2 linked regions of the Struthio camelus genome follow. The protein of the gene in region 1 interacts with the protein of each later gene in a biochemical or structural test. Links are inferred from orthologs where the notes say so. Each region holds a gene or a part of one and is shown in the gene's direction. Other genes may lie near its edges.

What was found.
Region 2: the proteins of KDR (region 1) and SHC2 form a complex in vitro, tested with the Homo sapiens proteins (2 studies listed by BioGRID). The link is inferred for Struthio camelus from reciprocal best matches to the Homo sapiens genes KDR and SHC2.

What each region holds. Positions count from the first base shown.
Region 1 is NC_090945.1:56,669,914-56,679,604, forward strand, and holds the start of KDR (vascular endothelial growth factor receptor 2), read left to right. Parts: upstream 1-5,096; 5' UTR 5,097-5,257; coding exon 5,258-5,309; intron 5,310-6,426; coding exon 6,427-6,517; intron 6,518-7,137; coding exon 7,138-7,334; intron 7,335-8,470; coding exon 8,471-8,595; intron 8,596-8,921; coding exon 8,922-9,090; intron 9,091-9,691. UniProt on the Homo sapiens protein: Tyrosine-protein kinase that acts as a cell-surface receptor for VEGFA, VEGFC and VEGFD. Plays an essential role in the regulation of angiogenesis, vascular development, vascular permeability, and embryonic hematopoiesis.
Region 2 is NC_090967.1:7,689,328-7,698,780, forward strand, and holds the start of SHC2 (SHC-transforming protein 2), read left to right. Parts: upstream 1-5,755; 5' UTR 5,756-5,761; coding exon 5,762-6,319; intron 6,320-7,124; coding exon 7,125-7,195; intron 7,196-7,903; coding exon 7,904-7,964; intron 7,965-8,122; coding exon 8,123-8,242; intron 8,243-8,327; coding exon 8,328-8,381; intron 8,382-8,467; coding exon 8,468-8,519; intron 8,520-8,669; coding exon 8,670-8,796; intron 8,797-8,893; coding exon 8,894-9,077; intron 9,078-9,169; coding exon 9,170-9,236; intron 9,237-9,312; coding exon 9,313-9,453. UniProt on the Homo sapiens protein: Signaling adapter that couples activated growth factor receptors to signaling pathway in neurons. Involved in the signal transduction pathways of neurotrophin-activated Trk receptors in cortical neurons.

The sequences.
Region 1 (9,691 bases):
CTGTGCCAGTAAAGCATGCCTAATGAAACTATAATAAAGCCATACTGCCTGGCTCCAGTGCTTGTTGCAGCAGTGGTATCTGCAGTGGGTAACTTCCAAGCTAGGTTGATTGCACATAGTTACATCCGTGTACAAGCTGCGTTAAAGCACCTGAAACGCTCCTTGAGCTCCTATCTGCTCCTTGAAGCAGATATCTAATTTTTTTAGCTTCCCCAAGAACTCTCATAGCTACTACCCACAGCCACATACTTCCACCCACCCCTTTTTTAGATGCTTGAGACCCTAGCAGCCCCAGCTGTGGCATGAAGGAGTGACTGCCAGCCGATCTGGCCACTGGCTGCACCATCCCAGATGCGTTCTGCAAGGGACTTCGTAGCCTGCCCAGTTGGCTTTCACTAGGTCTCATCCAGCATTAATTCAGCAGCTGTAACTGGCAATGCTTTTCTGTCTTCTGTGAATATGGAGGTATTTTGCTGAGGGGTAAAGAAGGATTGCACAGCAACTGTGTTTCCCCACAGCCAGTCTTCACTTCTGTGGGTTAATTTGCTTCCTTCCTCTCCATGCAGTGAACGTGTGTGTGTGTTTATGCGTGGTGAGGACGAGCATGTTTGCTCTCTGTTGCTACTACAGGTACTAGCAGAAGAGAAAATGGGAATAATATTAAAGGTAGTGGTGCTATCAGTGTTCCTTTCTAAATGAAAGGCCTTCACTGAGCAGTTGCGCACCTTAGGCTGCCAGGGACCATTTACAAACCTATTCAACTGCTGCAGCAAGGAAGAGCATAATCGGTGTTCCCAGTGCCAGCCCTTATCTCCCCCCAGGTTGTTATTTGAATAATTAAGCAAACAAAAGGCTGCCTGTCTGCCCCTGCTGCTGCAGTTGTCCTGGCTGGGCTCTGCAGGCAGCCGGGAGATGCTGGTGGGAGTGAGCAAGCGTGGGGGAGTCGTGACAAGCCGGGGAGGAGAGGGAAGGGGGAGTGATGGGGAGCTGCCAGTCTCTTGTCCTGCTTCTTTGTGTCTTGTTTTTAATGAGCTTTTGGCGACCAGAGGAGCAGATGCATAAACAAAAGTTTGCTGGCCTTGTTTGGCCAAGGCACGACTTCGTGCCCCCTCCTGTCATACAGATCGTTCCCAGTGATTGTGTCACGGAAACAGAGCTTCCCTCCTTGGGGGGCTGCAGGCAAAGAGGCTAACGAGGGCTGAAAACAAACTCGAAGGAGGGTTGCTGTCACTCTCCATCTCAAGGTGTAGGCAAGGGGTTTAAGAACTAAGCCTCTAAGGGGCTTTGGAAGATGCTGTATTAGCAGGGAATTGATCTGACTAAATGTACAGGAATCATGCTGGCTGAGTGTATCCCACCCATTAGATATCAGCTCTCCTGCAAATCTCCAGATCCAGTCCCGAGCCAGACCAAGACTCACGCAGTGTGGTAGGAAGGCTGGGTGTTTGGGGAGCTCATGCCAGCCCTGCATTCTTTACTGGAATTGTCTGGCCAAGACAGCGGCAGGCTTTTCTGACTAAGCCAGTCCTCAAAAGTCTTGAAGGGATTGTTTGTCATTTAAGGCAGGTGAGGGTGTTGAGCCTAAGGGTAGGTGTAGCATTAGAAGCTATTTCATGTTGTTTTGAGGATCCCAGGAAGAAACAAGATTCCCAGATTGAAACAGTCTCTGAGGAGGGAGGAAATCTCACCATTTTATTCATTCAGTAGTCTGGATTATGATTCTCGTATTTGGATTCTTTCACTTGCGCCACATGGTTCAGCGCCGGTAATCTCTGGTGAAAGCCAGGCTACATTTGATATCCTACAAGGCTAAAGGAAGGCAGAAAGGCTGCACAGAGCTTATAGCCTAAAAGACTGGATATGAAAGTTGCCATCACTTGAATCACTGGGATTTTGGTTTTGTAAACTGTGCCCCTTTGCCCCTCAACCTTGCAGCCATCTGTTGCCTAATATCCCACAGCTATCCCAGTAGCAGTGTATCACAGTAGCAGTGTATTTAGATCAGTCTTTCAGTTAGATGATAGGTAACTGTCTCTCCTGTGCTTCGGTCCATTCTTCTCTCAGAGGTTTCCCATGGTGTCTTCCAGTGACAACCCTCTTGAGAAAGCCACAACAAAGTTCAAAATATAAAAATCAGTGTAGCAAAGCACATATGATACCGTATACTCTGTGTCAGTAAAGTCATTTCACATCTTTTTTAGCTCTTGCTTTCCTTGTACACCTACCATTTCCAATGAGTATTGACCATAGTTTTTACTTGATATTATTAGAGGATTAGTCCAATGCACACTATGCATGTAAATAAATTCATTCACATGAAAAGCCCTACATCAGTAAAATGACTCTCCAGAGTAAATTTCCTCTTATGTTTAAATGTCTGCAGGGCTGGGAGTTCATTCAAATATCTGGAGTGTAAGGACTTGTCTTCTACTTCATTCATATCACAAATTTCTCTGATACGCTAGGGACAGTAATGAATACAGTGAAGCAGCAGCTTCTATAGCATAATTCTAGTTAACAAGCTTAAACTGACAGCCAGGCAAAGGACTGAAGGATTGTACTTCCATTTACAGGGTAAAGACGGAGATTTCAGTGGGATCACTAAGGGAGATAAGTACTGCTCAGAATGGATAAAAAGGGTAGATTCTGATCTGGAGCAGTACAGCCAACATATGGTCTGCAGGCGAGGTTTTTTTGTTTGTTTGCTTGTTTTTAATTTTTTGTCTGACTACGTGCTTCTGGACTACACACTTCTCTGTGGATACCTGACATTCATAACTTGCACGCTCCTCACTGCTGGCTGTTCAGCTAGGTGTGTGCATTGACTAGCCTGGAGGTTCGTGTGTCCGCTGTCCTTTCCTCCCCTTCCCTTCCCCAGGAAACTGCAGAGAAAGGAGGCAGGGGATGTAATGATCCCCAAGGGACAAGGAGGGCTAACTTCTAGTGGGCCATTACTGGGAAACTGAAGTCTGCAGTGTTCTGTCTCTCCTCCAACCTGCTGCTCATCTGAGTTGTGCCATCCTGGTGTAAAATGAATTTTACCTTCTTCTCTTTGCTGCCTTTGGGCATGTTACAGAAGTACAGAACATTCTGCGGTCTTCACTTAAGAGGCACCAGACTTGGAAAAGGAGATGTAGGAAGTATTGGGGTGCATTTGCAAGTTTGACTGAAGAAGAAGTCACGTATCCCTGCTTAGGTAGCCTCAGGGCAAGCAGTGGATATTTATTATTTTGGATATTTGGATATTTGCTTGGATTTGTTTGCAAGTTTAGATATTTGTTATTTGCACAAAGCTCAGATGCCAAGATCGTTTTCAGCAACGAAACCAACCACCCCACTCCAGTCCCCTGACATAATAGCAATAATTATGCTTGAAAAGAGGCCATAAATGGAATTACAGTAAGCTATATTTGTGTATTGTCTAACTAAGTCTCAGAAAAGTCATTTGCTAAAATCAGTATAGTGGCATATTTTCTACAGACTGCATTTTTGGAAGTTTATATATGAGTATAGAAAGCAGTAAAGTGAGGTACGAGTGATTGTCCTGTGTTCCATGGATCCCATAGTATGTTCATTTGAACATTTTTCAACTTATCCCTATAATTTCATTAGCTTTGTTAACGAGCTAAACTGCTTTGGAGGAAAACAGTTCTGGCAGGTTTATCATCTCTAATAAAAATGTTGTTCTTGGTAGTCAAAAACGACAGAAACAGCAGCACCACAAATGAAGTTATCAAAAGTGGCTCTTTAACAGTAGGTGGCTTTGGTTCTCACTAAGTATTTATCACTTCTACATAAACGTAAACCTCATATGCAGCCTAGCCATAGTCTCAGCAAGGGACAGTTGTTTAGTTGAGAGACACCACTGACCCAACCTACAATATGATGGAGATAGATGAGGGCTACCAATTTGCTGGTTTAAGAGCTCATAAGAATAGCAGTAACACATTTTATCTGCACGATGCCCACTTGCCACTTTTTGGGCCATATGATTCTTCTCTGACTTTTCATGGAGTTTATTTGGTTTCTGGGAAAAAATTAGTACAGAAATTTGGCTTCTCCCAGTCCTTGTATTTTTCTGTGATCAACAGGGGTGTTTCAAAGGAAATTACGCTGATTCCCAAGTACAGTAAACCAGCTGGAATTGCACAGCATGCAAAATAAAATCACTGCTTCGTTAACTTATTCATTTGTGGACAGGCTCACATGCAGATCTGCAGGTAAAGAGAAAACTGTAGTATGCAGATATGTATGTACATGCATGCATGCAGTTATGTATATAGCTATGTTGTTTCTGTCCATTTTCCTACTTAGATGGCTACTTATCTATCTACCCACCTATTTTATCTATCTGTCTACCTATTCTATCTATCTGTCTATCTCTCCACCTACCTACCTACCCATTTGTTACTGCAGATGTATTTGTTTCCCCCCTGAGGCTGTAGATTTATGTGTATGGATAAAGCATTTATGACCATGTATTTATTTTCCCAGAAGGACTGCTTCATGAACTTGTCTTTCAACAGTGGCTTGGTTAATAATTTCGATTAAAAAGTACAATTCTAGTTGGGGATGGGGGTTAATTTTTTTTTGGGGGGGGGGGGGGATGAAACCTGCAGTATGAAAGGGGAATCAGTACCGCAGCTGGTATTGATACCTGGGGAAAGAGTACTGGATTTGGCTGTTGGAGGAAAAGGGTGGAAAGGATGAATCTTACGAGAAGTTGCCGGATTCTGCTGGACGTGATTTAGTCAGTTAAACTGATGGATACGTGTCACACGCGCCGAGAAGATGCACCTGACTGAGGGACTTTCAAGTTGTCCTGCAAACGCAGGTCTTCCTATGGTCAGAGACGTAAAAGCTCGGGTGGATAAAGTCAAGGGGCAGCAGGAGAAGAACCGTGTCTTCCTGCACGTGCCTCAGGAAGAACCCTGTCACGCGAGGTCCCACCGGCCACCCCGACAACGTCTCCTCGCCCGCCCGGCCCAGGCCGCCAACGGCCCAACCGTCCCTCCGGCCAACGGCCGCCGGGGACGGGGCGGGGCGGCGGCGGCGAGGCCCCGCCCCCAGCCCGAGGGGACGGGACGGGGCGGGGCGGGGCCGGCGGCGCTCGCCGGGGTCCCGCATCCCGCGGCGCGGCGCGGAGCGGCTCCTGCCCCGGCCCCTGCCGCTGCCACTGCCCCGACGTCGCTCCGCGCTCGGCAGCGCCCGCAGCTGAAGCCGCCCCCGGCTGGCGGGAGGGCCCGGCGGCCGCGGCATGGAGCTCGGCGCGGCGTTGGTGCTGGTGGCCGCGCTGTGCTTGGCGCCCGGTAAGCGGCACCCGTCGGGGCGCCCCGCAAAGGGCGGTTGGGGGGAGGGGGGGCGGCCGCGGAGCCGTTGCGCTGCTGCGGCCCCGCGGGGTGTCGAGGAGGGGGGCTCGGCCGGGCGGCCGCGGGCCTGCAGCCCGGCGGGGAAGGGCTGTGCCCGGCGGTGCTGATGAGCAACGGTGCGGCTCGGCTGAGGGGCAGCCGTCGGCTGGGCTGCGGGTCCGCGGCGGGAGCCCCAGCCCGGGGCTGTCATCGGCCGCCCTTGGTTAAACCGCGGGGACGCGCGAGGGGAAGGGCAGGGAAAGAGTTAAGGCCTGGCCCGGCCGTCTTGTCACCCGCGGCGGCTGGCCGCGCTGTGCCGGTGGGGAGTCCTGGTCCTGCGCCGGTGGGGCAGGATTCCTGGCGGGAGCGCGGCCTGAAAACCTCTGGCTGTGTTCCTCGCAAGCCTTGCGCAACCTGGACTGTGTTGCCTCAGAGCGAGCATCGGCGCTGAAATCGCAGCCTTCGCGAGCGCAGGTGGCTCGGCGCGAGCCTGATGCAACCCTGGCGTGAAGAGAGCTCGAGGGTAATGGGTTTTGCCCGGCTGCTTAGGAAGAGAGGGGCAACGTGAGAAAAACATGGTAAAGAAGAGCAGTGCTGGGCTCATGAGACCTTGACTTTGTGGCAAACTGTGCAAAGGAATTCTTCACTGAATTCCTTAATCAGCAGGCTCAAAGAATATAAATATATGCAATTTATTATAAGAAAAGCTGGTGATCCCTTTCCCCAGGGAGTGAGATCATCAGATGAAGGTTCGCTTTATTTCAATGTCCAACATCCTCTTGTTAGACCTTGAATCTGGCAATGCAAAAAAACAGGAACTCCACCCTGGCTCGATGAATTGTAGTGCTCTGCAGCTAGGTCCTGACCATCTGCCTTTTCTTCCTGTTATGACAGAGTTTTTGAACTTTGTGATGTGTGAAAAGTCATTATTTACCGCTACACTGCTAAGCAGATGATGTGAAAGTGTCCACTTAAAACATGTAGCATCTACTTGTATGTGATGCTTTTCTGATTGAGCAGCATTTACTTTTATCTTGTAATTGCTTTGACTGGAGGTTTTTCATACATATTTTTGCAGGTTTATTTACTTCTCTGGATCAGCCAAGCCTTAGCATCCAAAAAGATGTCCTCACAATAACTGCAAATGCTACTCTAAATATTACTTGCAGGTAAGGGCAAATCTGGCCAGTATGCTTTTGATGGGGGTTACTTATGCAGCCTTTTTTTGTACAGAATTACAGATGACTCTTTCTCTCTCTCCTTTCATCTCTCCCGTTTCTCTCCCCTCCCTTTGTAATTCTCCCTTCCCCTGTGCTTTTCCCTGATGGGCTTTAGAAATGATCTTAAAGGGTTACAGTAACGGAGGATCACTGAAGAAAGGTACAGCAGCAGGCTAGCCAATGGGCATGACATAAAAAGTGCTTCAGAGTAGCTTTGGTCTAGTCCCGACTACTACCCTGTGAGAGGAGCTGGGAAGTGCAAGGAGACGCGGCATTAGCTGGATCCTTGCAGGGTGTGCTGGGGAGTGAGGCTCTCGCCCCTCCCTTTTAGGATCTGTGTTACTTCGATTTGCCATCACTGAATTCTCAAAATGAAATAGCTTCCACGTAGGTATTAGTAATAGCTTGGTTTGTGTGAATTTGTCATATGGGACTTGACAATCCATGCTACGTAATGAAGCCAATTCCTTTTTGTACCTGTAGAGACTAGCAGAACTGAGTTTTACCAGCTTGGCAACCGTACTGATACCCATCACGTGCTAATGCTTCTCTAACATTTGCTTTCCTAGTGGTCAGAGAGCTCTGGACTGGTTCTGGCCGAACAATCAGAGCAGTGCTGAGAAGCGTATCGCTGTGACAAACTGTAGTGATGGCCCCTACTGTAAGATGCTTACTCTCCTAAAAGTAATAGGCAATGACACAGGAGACTACAGGTGCCTTTACAGGGACAGCCAGGCAGCTACAACCATTTATGTCTATGTTCAAGGTAAGTGCTTACACAGTTCATATGTGACTCCCACCTCTCTGCAAAATGAAAAGGGGTATTAAGCGTCTCAAAATGATTTTGGCATTAAAATTTCTAAATCCCAAAATTTTTAGTCCTATGAAACTATTATTTTTCCTACCCATTTTCATGCTAAGTAGTTACATGCCAATATGCTCGCTGCCTTCAATAGAAAAAGCTGTGTGCTTGTAATTTTAAATTAACCTTCCATGTACGGTACTTAGTCTACTTTTCTCCTCTGCCCAGAACTTAGCCTGCATATATCTCTACTGTGCTCTCAGCCTGTCCTCATGATTGCAGAGCTATTACTGAAGTCAGTAGGAGTTTCCTACAAGGGAGGATTATAGAGGTCGTATGTATTTTTTAAAATAGACGTATCACCCTGCCTTTTACCATTTGTACTAACTGATGCTGTTCAAACAAATTAAACCGTGAGCTTCCGTGCATTGGTTGACTATAGGAGTAAAAGCTGAGTTTCAGACTCAGGCTATCAGTTCTGTTGATAGAAATGCTGAAGAGCATGGCAGCTGCTGCAAAGCCTTCAGTTATACATTCAGCTTAAGAAGGTGCATACACTAAGGCATCTCCCTTTTTTGCACTTGCGTTGGTACCCATGTTCTTGTGCGTCCTATTTCCTTTTTATTCTAACTTGTGGTTAGCATTTTTAACAATGGGGTGTTGTTATATACATGAGCTAGCTTGTTCTATAAGATCATGAGCTCTCTTTTTTTTTTTGACTGACTCTGAAAAGGACCCTGCTGTTTTGGGGGCTGTTTAGCGTGTCACTACTTTAACTGATATTTCCTGTAATACTTATGCAAGCAAAGTTATACTAGGGTAAATCAGATTTTTGCCTGCACAAAGAGTGCCGTGGCAGGAAGCTATTCTCTGAAGTACGTACTCCTGCTGATAACTGTTTTGAGAATAATAGTATTGTAAAACTGGGTGGCTGTCAAAACATAGCCCTCCCTTTATTCTCATCATTTGAGTGTTTTGCCAGGTAGAAAGAAATAAAACTGATTTGAGAAGGAATAAACAGAGAAAGAAAAAAATGGAAAAAGTTTGCTCCCAAATCACTTGACAAATAATATCTATTTACCAACCAAATGTTCTTCTAGATTACAGATCTCCATTTGTGACTTCAGTTAGTGATCAACTCGGCATTGTATACATCACTAAGAATAAAACAGTGGTAGTACCATGCCTTGGAACTGTATCAAATCTCAATGTATCTCTACATGCGGTAAGGAAAAAGCCCATTATTGTTTTAAGAGTTAGTTAAAGTCAATATGATTATACTTCAAATGATGGAGTATTTAAATATGTTTCTTAAAAAACTATTTTTCTCTGTGGGAATTTTAGAGCTATGATTAGAAGGTGAGCGCGGTAACTATACTCATCCGTGCTCCTGCACTCTGCAAATACACATTCATTGTCTATGAAAAGAAGATTGCTTGAGCTAAGATGTTAAAAGTAGGCTTATGCTGTTACGGAAGATATTGGACTTAAAACTTTGGGACTGCTTGATTTTTGGAATTTGATTATATTTTTTATCAATGTTTCAAACAGAAATATCCAGAGAAGATATTTGTTCCTGATGGTAAATCAATTTCATGGAATAATAAAAAAGGCTTCACTATACCCAGTCATTTAATCAACTATGCAGGCATGGTCTTCTGTGAAGCTAAAATAGATGATGAAAGCTACCAGTCTGTGATATACATAGTCGCAGTTGTAGGTAAGGCAAAGATTTTTCCCTATAGCCCATGTTGTTTTGCTTGATACAACATACTGAACCAACTACGGTTTGTTAGACTGTAGGTTGTTCAGCACTGACAATGCAGCTAATGCAAAATGGGTGTTGTGATATATGTTACTTTTCTTTTAAATGCAGTGTATTGTGTTGTTTCTGGTTGATTGTTGGGATAAGTGCTTCTATTTTTAGTGTTTTACATAAATGCTAGGGATTTTTTTTTCCAGCAATGCAAGCCCTTTTTCCTAAAGTCACTCTCTTTTCTACTTTATCTACACTTATCTAGGGTCTGAGTCAAAACTGAAGGGAACTAGAGGCAGGCATCCCTTAGCAGCAGAGGGAAGGGTTGTTGCTCTGAGGGGATACCAAGGGAATGGGGGATCTGAAGAGAGGTGTCTCACTAGGAATTTGGTTGTCTTGTCTGCCTTCATAGTTATGTCCTGACTCTGAAAGAAATGTATGTTCTCCTGATATCATATCAGTTGTTCATCAAAACTCAGAAATAACATGATGATTCTGTGAGGGCTTAAGTCTGCGCTGAAACTGTAGTTTTTTCTCTTTTAACTCTGAGGACACAACAACTGCT
Region 2 (9,453 bases), on another chromosome or scaffold:
TGGTTGCCTTGGTGTGTCCAGATTTTTCATTCTGTGTGTGGCTCAATGTCAGCGTGGCCTATATGTCCTGCAGTGACTCTGGTGAAATCATACAGCTAGTGGGGGCGGGCTGGAAATAGCAAACACGTCCCCAGTGCAGGACAGGCTGCTGAGCCGAGGGCCTGTCACCACCCCCCACCCTCTCTTTCCTGCCTGAAATTTCCCCCTTGCTACAGCATGACTGAACCCTGATGCCTAGCTTTTAAAAAGCTTAACATTTCTTCCAGTTTCCATGATGAAACTGAAATTAAACCCAGCTGGTGTCAAGCCTCTGCTTCCCCCATGTTCTGCCCTAAGAGCTGTCTCTGGCCAAGCCCCGGCACCTCTCCCTGCTGCAGTTTCCCCCCCCTTACAAGATGGGACTCATCCTCCCAGCAGGGCTCATTTCTCCCACGCTTGGAATAACTGCAGGTGCTCCGGCGGACGGATGATGGCAGGCTGGTTAATGCCGCTGCGAGCCCCCCTGAACCCAGCACGGGCTTGTCTACGTGGCACCTCCTTGCTGCAGCAGAGGCAGGGATGGGGCAGGAGGGATTAGACAGCAAACCCACAGCCCCGTGGGTCGGCAGCGTAGGAAGTAGTGGATGGGTTCTCACTTTTTAGCCCTTTGTAGTGTGCACCCGCTCAGGAGAGAGGACCCAGGTGTCCTGGCCGCGTCCTGCTCTCAGCTCCCCGGCAGCGTGCCTCGGCCGCCCCAGAGCCCAGGCGGCCTGGTCCACGGCCCCGTGGGGTGCCTCCACCCTGCCTGTCTGCTGCTTCTTGCCAGGCCCTGGTCCAGGACGGTACAACCTGCCTCCTACACTGGGATTCCTTAACCACGACTACACCCGGCTAACCGCCCCCGCGTACTCCTTCCACCAGAGACTCGATGGCGCTAGTCAGTTAAGGGGGGTTATTGAAGCAAAAGCAGTGGCTCAGCCCCCTCCTGCCTTCCTGGCGCAGGGCATTGCGCGCACCATGCACGCACGCACGCACGAGTCCACGCACGCATCCTGGCAGCACACGGTTGCGTCCCCATCCCAAAGCATGCAAAGCCCTGTTCTCCGTCCGGCGTGTACAAACACAGCCCCTGGAAATGTGTGTTTTTTGCATGCACATGTTCCTTCTCAGGTGGAGGGAAGCACGGAGCAGCATGTGTCCCACATCTTTTCTGTATATGTGATGTGGGCTGCATGTGTTTGTGTCTTCCCCTGTGTCCAGGAGAACGAAACTGCGCGTGGATCCTTTGTGCTGTCTCGCTCCTGCCAGCAAGCCCAAGGAAGCAGCCGCTGGCAAACGGCAGCTCTGAACCGGCCTCTTCCCTCCCTGCGAGCTCGGCGGGGGGAGGCAGCCCCCGCCGCTATTTATGGCTGAGGTCAGGCCAGCAGCTTGCACTAAAAAGCCAGAGCGCATTGTCCTCGAAATGCAGAGCATTCGTAATTACAATCGATACACCTTTCTTCCCTGCTCAGCCCCGCGCAGGACAAGCTGCCCGTCCTCCCGTCCCCAGCCCACCTCCCCTTGCGGGTCTGGCCCGGCCGGCGGCGGCGCCGGGCTCCTGCGGCCCCGGGGGCTGCGGGAGCGGCTTTTCCCGGCTTTCGTACAGGCTCCGAGCTCGGGCGCTCCTCCGCCCCGCGCTCGGAGCGGGTCGCAAAGGAGGGAGGGCGGCGTTTGCAGGGCAGCGTGGCCCTCGGGGCACCCGGGGCTCGCGGGGGGCTGGAGCGGGGGGTCCCGGCCCTGCTGCGCCCCGAGCCACCCCGGCCCCCCAGCTCCGTCCAGCTCCTTTGAGAGCCGCCTGGGGCTGAGGCCGGTGGTGCGGTGCGGGCACCCGCGGGGCTGAACCCCGGCCCCAGCCCGCCGCCTGGGGGGCTGCTGCGGCCCCCACCGGCCCTCCAGCCCCGGCGCCACCGTCTCCCGGCCCCTCGCCAGCTCCCCGCCAGCTTGTACCGTCGCGGCCCCGAGGCCCTGGACCGGCAGGAGCGAGCCCGGGCTCCCCGCGGGCATCCTCGCGCTGGGATGGCCCCTGGCCGCGGGAGCGGGGAGCAGCGGGCGCAGCGGGGCTGCCATCGCCGGCCGCCTGCTCGGCGATGCATCGCGCCTGCTGGCCTTCGCCGGCCGACGGGCCGGGCTGGGTTCCCCTTTGCAGCCCGGGGACCTGCAATAAATAAAGCGGCAGCACGCTGTGGCCCCCGCGCGTCTGCCTCCCGCCCCGCCGGGGTGGCCGAGGCCGAGGCAGCGGCGAGAGTGGCTGCCGGGGGGGCTGGGGAGAGGCGCTGGCACCCGGCCCCAGCGGGGCCGCGGCTGCGGGAGCAGAGGGGAGCGTGCTGGCACGGGGCTCCTCGCCCGGACCGTCGCCCCCGCAGCCCCGCTCGGCGGCAGCCGGCTGCATCCGTCCCCTCTCGGCCACCTTCGGTCGGGGTGGCTGCAGCCCGATGCCTCCCGGGAGGGTTCGAGGCCTTTTCCCTCCCAGCCTGGCTGCCAGGGGGAGAAATTTGGAGAAAGAGGCGGCCATGCCGTGGGGCAGGAGGGCTCGAGGCCGCCTGGTCCCGGGAGCTCAGCACTGACAGCTCGTCACACGTGTGCTCGGCCGTGCACGCGCCTGCTCTCCTCTCCTAATTAATCCTTCGTGGGCTTGAGAGCACTTGATGTCGATTCCCCTCGTGCAGCGCCAGAGGTGTAAGGAGATTAATTAGCACGGTTCAGAACGGTTATGCAAATCGCCCACCGCCGGGGAGAGCCGGGGTGCAGTCCAGCGGCCCCGGGAATCGCCCCGCGCTGCAGCAGAAGCGCGGGCTCCCGGGGAGGGGGGATCGCCCGGCCCCGCTCGGCCCGGCCGCGGGGGCTGCCGCGCGCCCCGCTGCCCCCCGGGCTTCGCTCTCGCGGGCTTTCCTTTAGGTCGTGGTTAAAAACAGGCAGGGGAAAGCCGTCGACGTGCAGCTAAGCGTCCAGAGTCTGAGACCGGCTGCGAACGAGATGAAAATAATCCCTTGGCCCCCGGGGACTGGTGCAAGGGAGGAGAGCGGCTCGCAGCGCCGCGGGGCAGCGGGACGTGGGGCGAGCGCGGCGCGGGGACCGGCCGCTCACCCCCATCCCGGCTGGCGCCGCGACGGCAGCACCGAGGAGCCCAACCCGGGGCTTTGCGGCTGTTTAAAAACAAAACCGAGGAGAGCAGCGAGAGGCTGGGAGAAGAGAAGCGGTTCCTAATACGGCAATAGCAAATGTAATTCTATTACCGTGATTTATTGATTGCACTTAGAGCAATTACTGGCGTCCCCCCCCTCACCTGCCGGGCGCGGGAGCCGGCACGGAGGAGGCAGGACGCCGGTGGCCGCGCTGCCCGACACGGCAGAGGGAATACCGGGGAGCGGGGTGGGCTGCGAGGGGGCACGACTGCCCCGTGGGGCTGCAACATCCCGTCGCCTCACACTGGCGGGGCTGGCGCCCACCCCTGCCCACGCGGCTGCCGGCAGCTCCGGTGGGACCAGCTCCGCTCTGGGCATGGGGCTGCAGGGGGCACAGCCCGGACCTCCCCGAGCCGCTGGTGGGGGCTCGGGCGGCATGGCCTGGGCTCGACAGGAGGCCGGAGTCCTTTCCACCCCTGGAAAAAAGAGACAGCCCCAGGTCTGGAGAGGGAGAGCGTTAGCGGGATTGTTCTGAGCTCAGAAAGTCCCTGCAAGGTTTTTTCTTTGCTTGCTGCAGATACTGGCAGAGAAGCAAGAAAATGATTGTGCTTTTTACCGGCAGCGCCCTCCAGACAGATATAAACATGCAAGAGACAGGCCTGGCTTTGGAGGCAGACAAACTCGGCGTGAACGAGACCACTGGGTTGGGAGGCAGAGAAATAGGCCAGCCCCACTGCGCGGCGGAGCCTTGCAAAGCCAGCCCCAGGCTCCCTGCAAACATTTCCCGATGCTGGAGACACGGAAAAGAGGAGAAAACATCCCAGGCGCAGGAGAGGGCAGGGGCTGGGGGCTGCTGGCCCTTCAGGAGCTGCCTCCTCGCCACTCAAGCTAATTGCAAGCGGGAGCTGCAGAGGAGACCATGCATCACGCTTTATGGCTCCCAGCGGGCAGGCAGTAGCTCTCCCCGGCTCCACGTCACCCGGGAGGCTCCGAGCCCGTTAACCCTGCAGCACCTGCTGCAAAGCCGGGCACCGTGGGGCAGCGGCCGGCCCCGGCCAGGGGCTCCGCTCGGCCATGGCCGCGGCGAGCTGGCTGGGAGCGGGGCGCGGGGCAGGCAGCGCCGTGCAGCTCTGTCCCCATGGGGCTGTGCATGCGGAGGGTGTGCGGACGTGGCGGGGCACCCCCGAGGCCTGGGGGGCTGCAAGGCCGTGCCTGGGGCTCTGCCGGGACAGCACGGGTACCCCAGGCCGTGCAGGGAAAACCCCGCTGGCCTCCATCTCCCAGCTTCGGGGGTCGAGGCATGTCCCCTGCCCTCCTCAGAAGGGATCCGGTGCAGGGACTGTTTCTGCCCTTCCCTGGGGCTCTGTCGCCCCTTCCCTGCAGAGTCAAGGGCTCAGGGGGCAGTGGGGCTGGAGGGATGCTCATGGGCCAGGAAGGATGCTTGCATGGCAGGAGGGATGCGTGTGGTGCCAAAGGCATGTGCGTGGGGTGGGAGGGATGCTTGCACAGCTTAACGGATGCTCGTGGGGCCAGAGGGATGCTGATGGGGCAGGAGGGATGTGCGTGGGGTGGGAGGGATGCTCACAGGGCCAGAGGGATGCTCATGGGGTCAGAGGGATGCTGATGGGGCTGGAGGGATGCTGATGGGGCGGGAGGGATGCTGCACGGCTGGAGGGATGCTGATGGGGCGGGAGGGATGCTGCACAGCTGAAGAGATGCTGATGGGGCGGGAGGGATGCTGCACGGCTGGAGGGATGCTGATGGGGTGGGAGGGACACTTGCATGGCTAGAGGGATGCTTGTGGGGCTAGAGGGATGTGTGTGGGGCCAGAGGGATGCTGATGAAGCAGGAGGGATGCTGCATGGCTGGAGGAATGCTGATGGGGCGGGAGGGATGCTGCACGGCTGGAGGGATGCTGATGGGGCGGGAGGGATGCTGCACGGCTGGAGGGATGCTGATGGGGTGGGAGGGACACTTGCATGGCTAGAGGGATGCTTGTGGGGCTAGAGGGATGTGTGTGGGGCCAGAGGGATGCTGATGAAGCAGGAGGGATGCTGCATGGCTGGAGGAATGCTGATGGGGCAGGAGGGATGCTGCACGGCTGGAGGGATGCTGATAGAGCAGGAGGGATGCTGCACGGCTGGAGGGATGCTGATGGGGCGGGAGGGATGCTGCACGGCTGGAGGGATGCTGATGGGGCGGGAGGGACACTTGCATGGCTAGAGGGATGCTTGTGGGGCTAGAGGGATGTGTGTGGGGCCAGAGGGATGCTGATGAAGCAGGAGGGATGCTGCACGGCTGGAGGGATGCTGATGGGGCGGGAGGGATGCTGCACGGCTGGAGGGATGCTGATGGGGCGGGAGGGATGCTGCGCGGCTGGAGGGATGCTGATGGGGCGGGAGGGACGCGCACAGGGCGGGAGGGACGCGCGGGGTGGGAGGGATGCTCGCGGGGCGGCCTTGGGCGCGCAGCCTGCCGGCCGGCGAGCACTCACACCATGACATCACCGCGCCGCCAGCCCCGGGGGAGCGGGCAGGGGGTGGGGGCCGGCGCGGGCAGCCGCGCCGCCAGCGCGCGCCGCGCCAGGCAGCCGCTCCAGAGGCACGGCCGCAGCGCGGGGCATGCTCCCGGAGCCCAAGTATGACCGCTTTCGCAACGACACGCTGACGGCCGCGGCCGCCCCGCGCCACCCGCCGGCCGCCCCCATGCCGTCGCCGGCCCCCTCGCCCGCCGGCGCGGCCCCGGCCCTGGCCCACCCGTGTCCCCCGCTCGGCGAGGAGCAGGAGGCCGTCACCACCTTCTGCATGCTCATCCCCAGGATGCCCCAGTGGAAGTTCCCCGGCCCCACGGGCTTCCTCAGCCGCAGCCCTTCGGGCTCCAGCAAGGAGCTCTCCTCGCCGGCCAAGGCGGGGGGCCCCGCGGAGCCGGGGGGGCCCCCCTCCAGCCTGGCCGCCGTGCTGAGCGCCTGCGAGCCCGTCTGCTCGGCGCCCTGCTCGCTGCAGGTGATGAGCCGGCTGCGCGGCGGGGCTGGGGCCGCCAGGAAGGCCGCCCGCGTCGAGGGGGCCAAGCTGGCCGGCGACGAGTGGACCCGCAAGGGCAGCTTCATCAGCAAGCCGGCGCAGGGCTGGCTCCATCCCGACGAGCGGGTGCTGGGACCCGGCGTCTCCTACATCGTCCGGGTAAGTCTGGCTGCGGCCGCGTCCTGGTGGGCAGGCGCGAAGCCCCCGGCGCCAAGCGGTGCCGTTGCCCCAGGACCGGGTGCTGCCCGGCTGGGGAGCTCCGCGCCAGCCTCCTGGGGGCTCCATGCTTGGCGCAGGGGCCGCGGCGATGGTTTCCGGGGCCGAAGGCTGCTGGCAGGCTGCACCGTGCTGCGGCCACGCGCCTGGCTCCGAACCAGCCCAGCCTGCACGCGGCTCGGGGCCGGGCGGACGCTCGGGGCCGGGGAGCGAGGCAGAGCCCAGGGATGCTCTGCCAGGACGCACCTGCCCCACGGCCCCGCCGTGCCTCAGTTTCCCTCCAGCCAAAGGGCCGTGCCTGCAGGGGAGCTGGCCGGCAGGGTGACTGGGCGGGTGGCCCCGCGCGGGCGCTGCAGGCGGCAGCCGGCTGCGGGCTGGGGCGATGCTCGGGGCGGGCAGGCCCGGTGGCACGGCGGCGGGCGCCATCCGCGCAGCCCTTTCTCCCCGTCACGTGGCGGCCGAGCTCTGTGAAGCCACTGGCACACGGCGGGGAGGGCGGCTGGGCCGGCTGGGGGCTCCCCGGCCCGGGGGAGCAGCTCTGGGACGTGGCCGGAGCCAGCCCCTCGCAGGCAGACGAGCGTGCCGGGTCTCAGCGCGGGTTCGGGGGCGCGACGGAGCCTCCCCGCTGGGCGTCTGCGCATCGGGGCGAGCCCCGGCGCGGGGTCTCGGGACGCCCCCTCGCCGCCCCGGCTCCCCTCCTTCGCGCCGGTGGCCGCTCTGAGCACCCTCCCCTCCTGCCGCCCCGCAGTACATGGGCTGCATCGAGGTGCTGCGCTCCATGCGGTCCCTGGACTTCAACACCCGCACGCAGGTCACCAGGTAGGGAGGGCCCCGCGCCCCGCCGGCCCCGGCAGTGGCTTCCCTCCCTGCGGGGAGGTGGGGGACGGGGCCGCGGTCGGGGACCCTGCGCCAGGATGGAGATGGAGATGGGGATGGAGATGGGGATGGGGATGGGGATGGGGATGGGGATGGGGATGGGGACCCCTGCACCATGCTGGTGATGATGCCATGGTTGGGGACCCCTGTGCCGTGCCAGAGATGGGGATGGGGACCCCTGCGGCATGCCAGGGATGAGGCCACGGTTGGGTGCCCCTGCACTGTGCTGGGGATGGGAACAGGGACCCCTGCACTGTGCTGGGGACAAGGCCATGGTTGTGGACCCCCGTGCCATGCTGGTGATGAGGCCACAGTCGGGGACCCTTTTGCTGTGCCAGGGCCGGGGCTGTGGTCAGGGACCCTTGTGCTGTGCTGGGGACGGGGTCCCCCATGCTGTGCCGGGGACGGGGCCACGATCGGGGACCCTTGTGCTGGGCTGGGGACGTGGGAGCGGCGCGGCGAAGGGCACCTGCTGCCGATCGATAGCAGAAAGAGGAGAAGGGAGGCGGCTCCGGCCGGGATTATTCACCCGCGGCAGCGGTGACATTGGGGACGGCGGGGGGGGGGGCTGCGGCTGGCCGTGCCCAGGGGACCGGGGGGCCGGGGGGGCCGGGGCTGTGCAGCCGTGACCCCCTGGCGCGGCGCTCGCAGGGAAGCCATCAACAGACTGTACGAGGCGGTGCCGGGCGTGAAGGGCATCTGGAAGAAGAAGGTGAGTTCCCAGCCCGGCCGGCGGCTGCTTCCCGGGGCCGAGCCGGGCCGGGGGTCCTCCCCGCGGGTCGCCCCGTGCCCGGCGCCTCGCTGCCCTCCTTGGCCCCGAGAAACCCGGCCGGGGGGCTGCTCAGCCCAGCGCCGCCCCGTCGCCCCCAGGCCCCCAACAAGGCGCTCTTCTCCATCCTGGGCAAGAGCAACCTCCGCTTCGCCGGCATGAGCATCGCCGTCAACATCTCCGTCGACGGCCTCAACCTCAGCATCCCCAGCACGCGGCAGGTGAGCGGAGCGGCGGCCAGGCGGCGGCCGGGCGGCGGCGGGGGGGCCCCGCGCTCACCCCGCTCCGGGCCGCGTCTCCCCGCAGATCGTCGCCCACCACCACATGCAGTCCATCTCCTTCGCCTCCGGCGGGGACGCGGTGAGGAGCGGGGCCGAGGCGCGGGGTGGGCGCCCCGCGGCGCTCCGGAGGCGGCCCCGGCCCTGACCGCCCCTCCGTGCCCCCAGGACACCACCGACTACGTGGCCTACGTCGCCAAGGACCCCATCAACCAGAGAGGTGACGCTCGCCCGGGAGCCCGCGGGGCGGCGGGGAGGGGGCGCGGGCAGGAGGGCTGAGCCGGGGGCCGGGGCCGGAGCGGGGGACGCGGCGGAGGGGGGCGGCCGAGCCTCCGTCCCTCCGTCCGTCCGCCCGTCCGTCCGTCCGCAGCCTGCCACATCCTGGAGTGCTGCGAGGGGCTGGCGCAGAGCGTCATCAGCACGGTGGGCCAGGCCTTCGAGCTGCGCTTCAAGCAGTACCTGCACAGCCCGCCCCGGGCGGCGGCGCCCGCGGACAGGTAGGGCACCGGCACCGGCACCGGCACCGGCTCCGCCGGGACGGGCGCGGGGGTCGGACGGGGCAGGGTGCGCCCGTCCCCGTGCGTCCCCGCGCAGGGCGCTGGCGGCGGAGGAGCCGGCGTGGCGGGACGACGAGGACGCCGCCGCCGAGCACGACTACTACAACAGCATCCCGGGCAAGGAGCCGCCGCCGGGGGGGCTCGTCGACTGCCGGCTCCGGCACGGCGCGCTGCCGGGCCACGTCCGCCCTCAGCCCCCCGGCGCCAGCCCCGCCGGCCAGGTGAGCCGGGGGCTGCCGCGTCCGGCGCGGGGTTGGGGGGGCCCGCGGACGCCGGGCCCTGCTGACGCCCCCGGCTCTGCTCCTCTCCCCAGGGCGGCTTTTCCCCCCGACGAGAGCCCAGCAGCCAGCCGGGACCGCCGTGGGGGCTGGAGGCGCAGGGTGGGTACGGCGGCGGGGCGGCCGGCCCGGGGGGCGGCGGGGCGGCGGGGCGGCCGCTGACGCCCCGTCCCGGCAGGCCAGCCCGGCGACGGCTACCTGCAGGCGGACGGGCAGCCCCCGGGGCCGCCCGACTACGAGCAGCACATGTACGTCAACACGCAGAGCCTGGAGGCCGGCGAGCCGGAGCCCGCGGCCCGCGGCGCCCCCCAGGACAGCC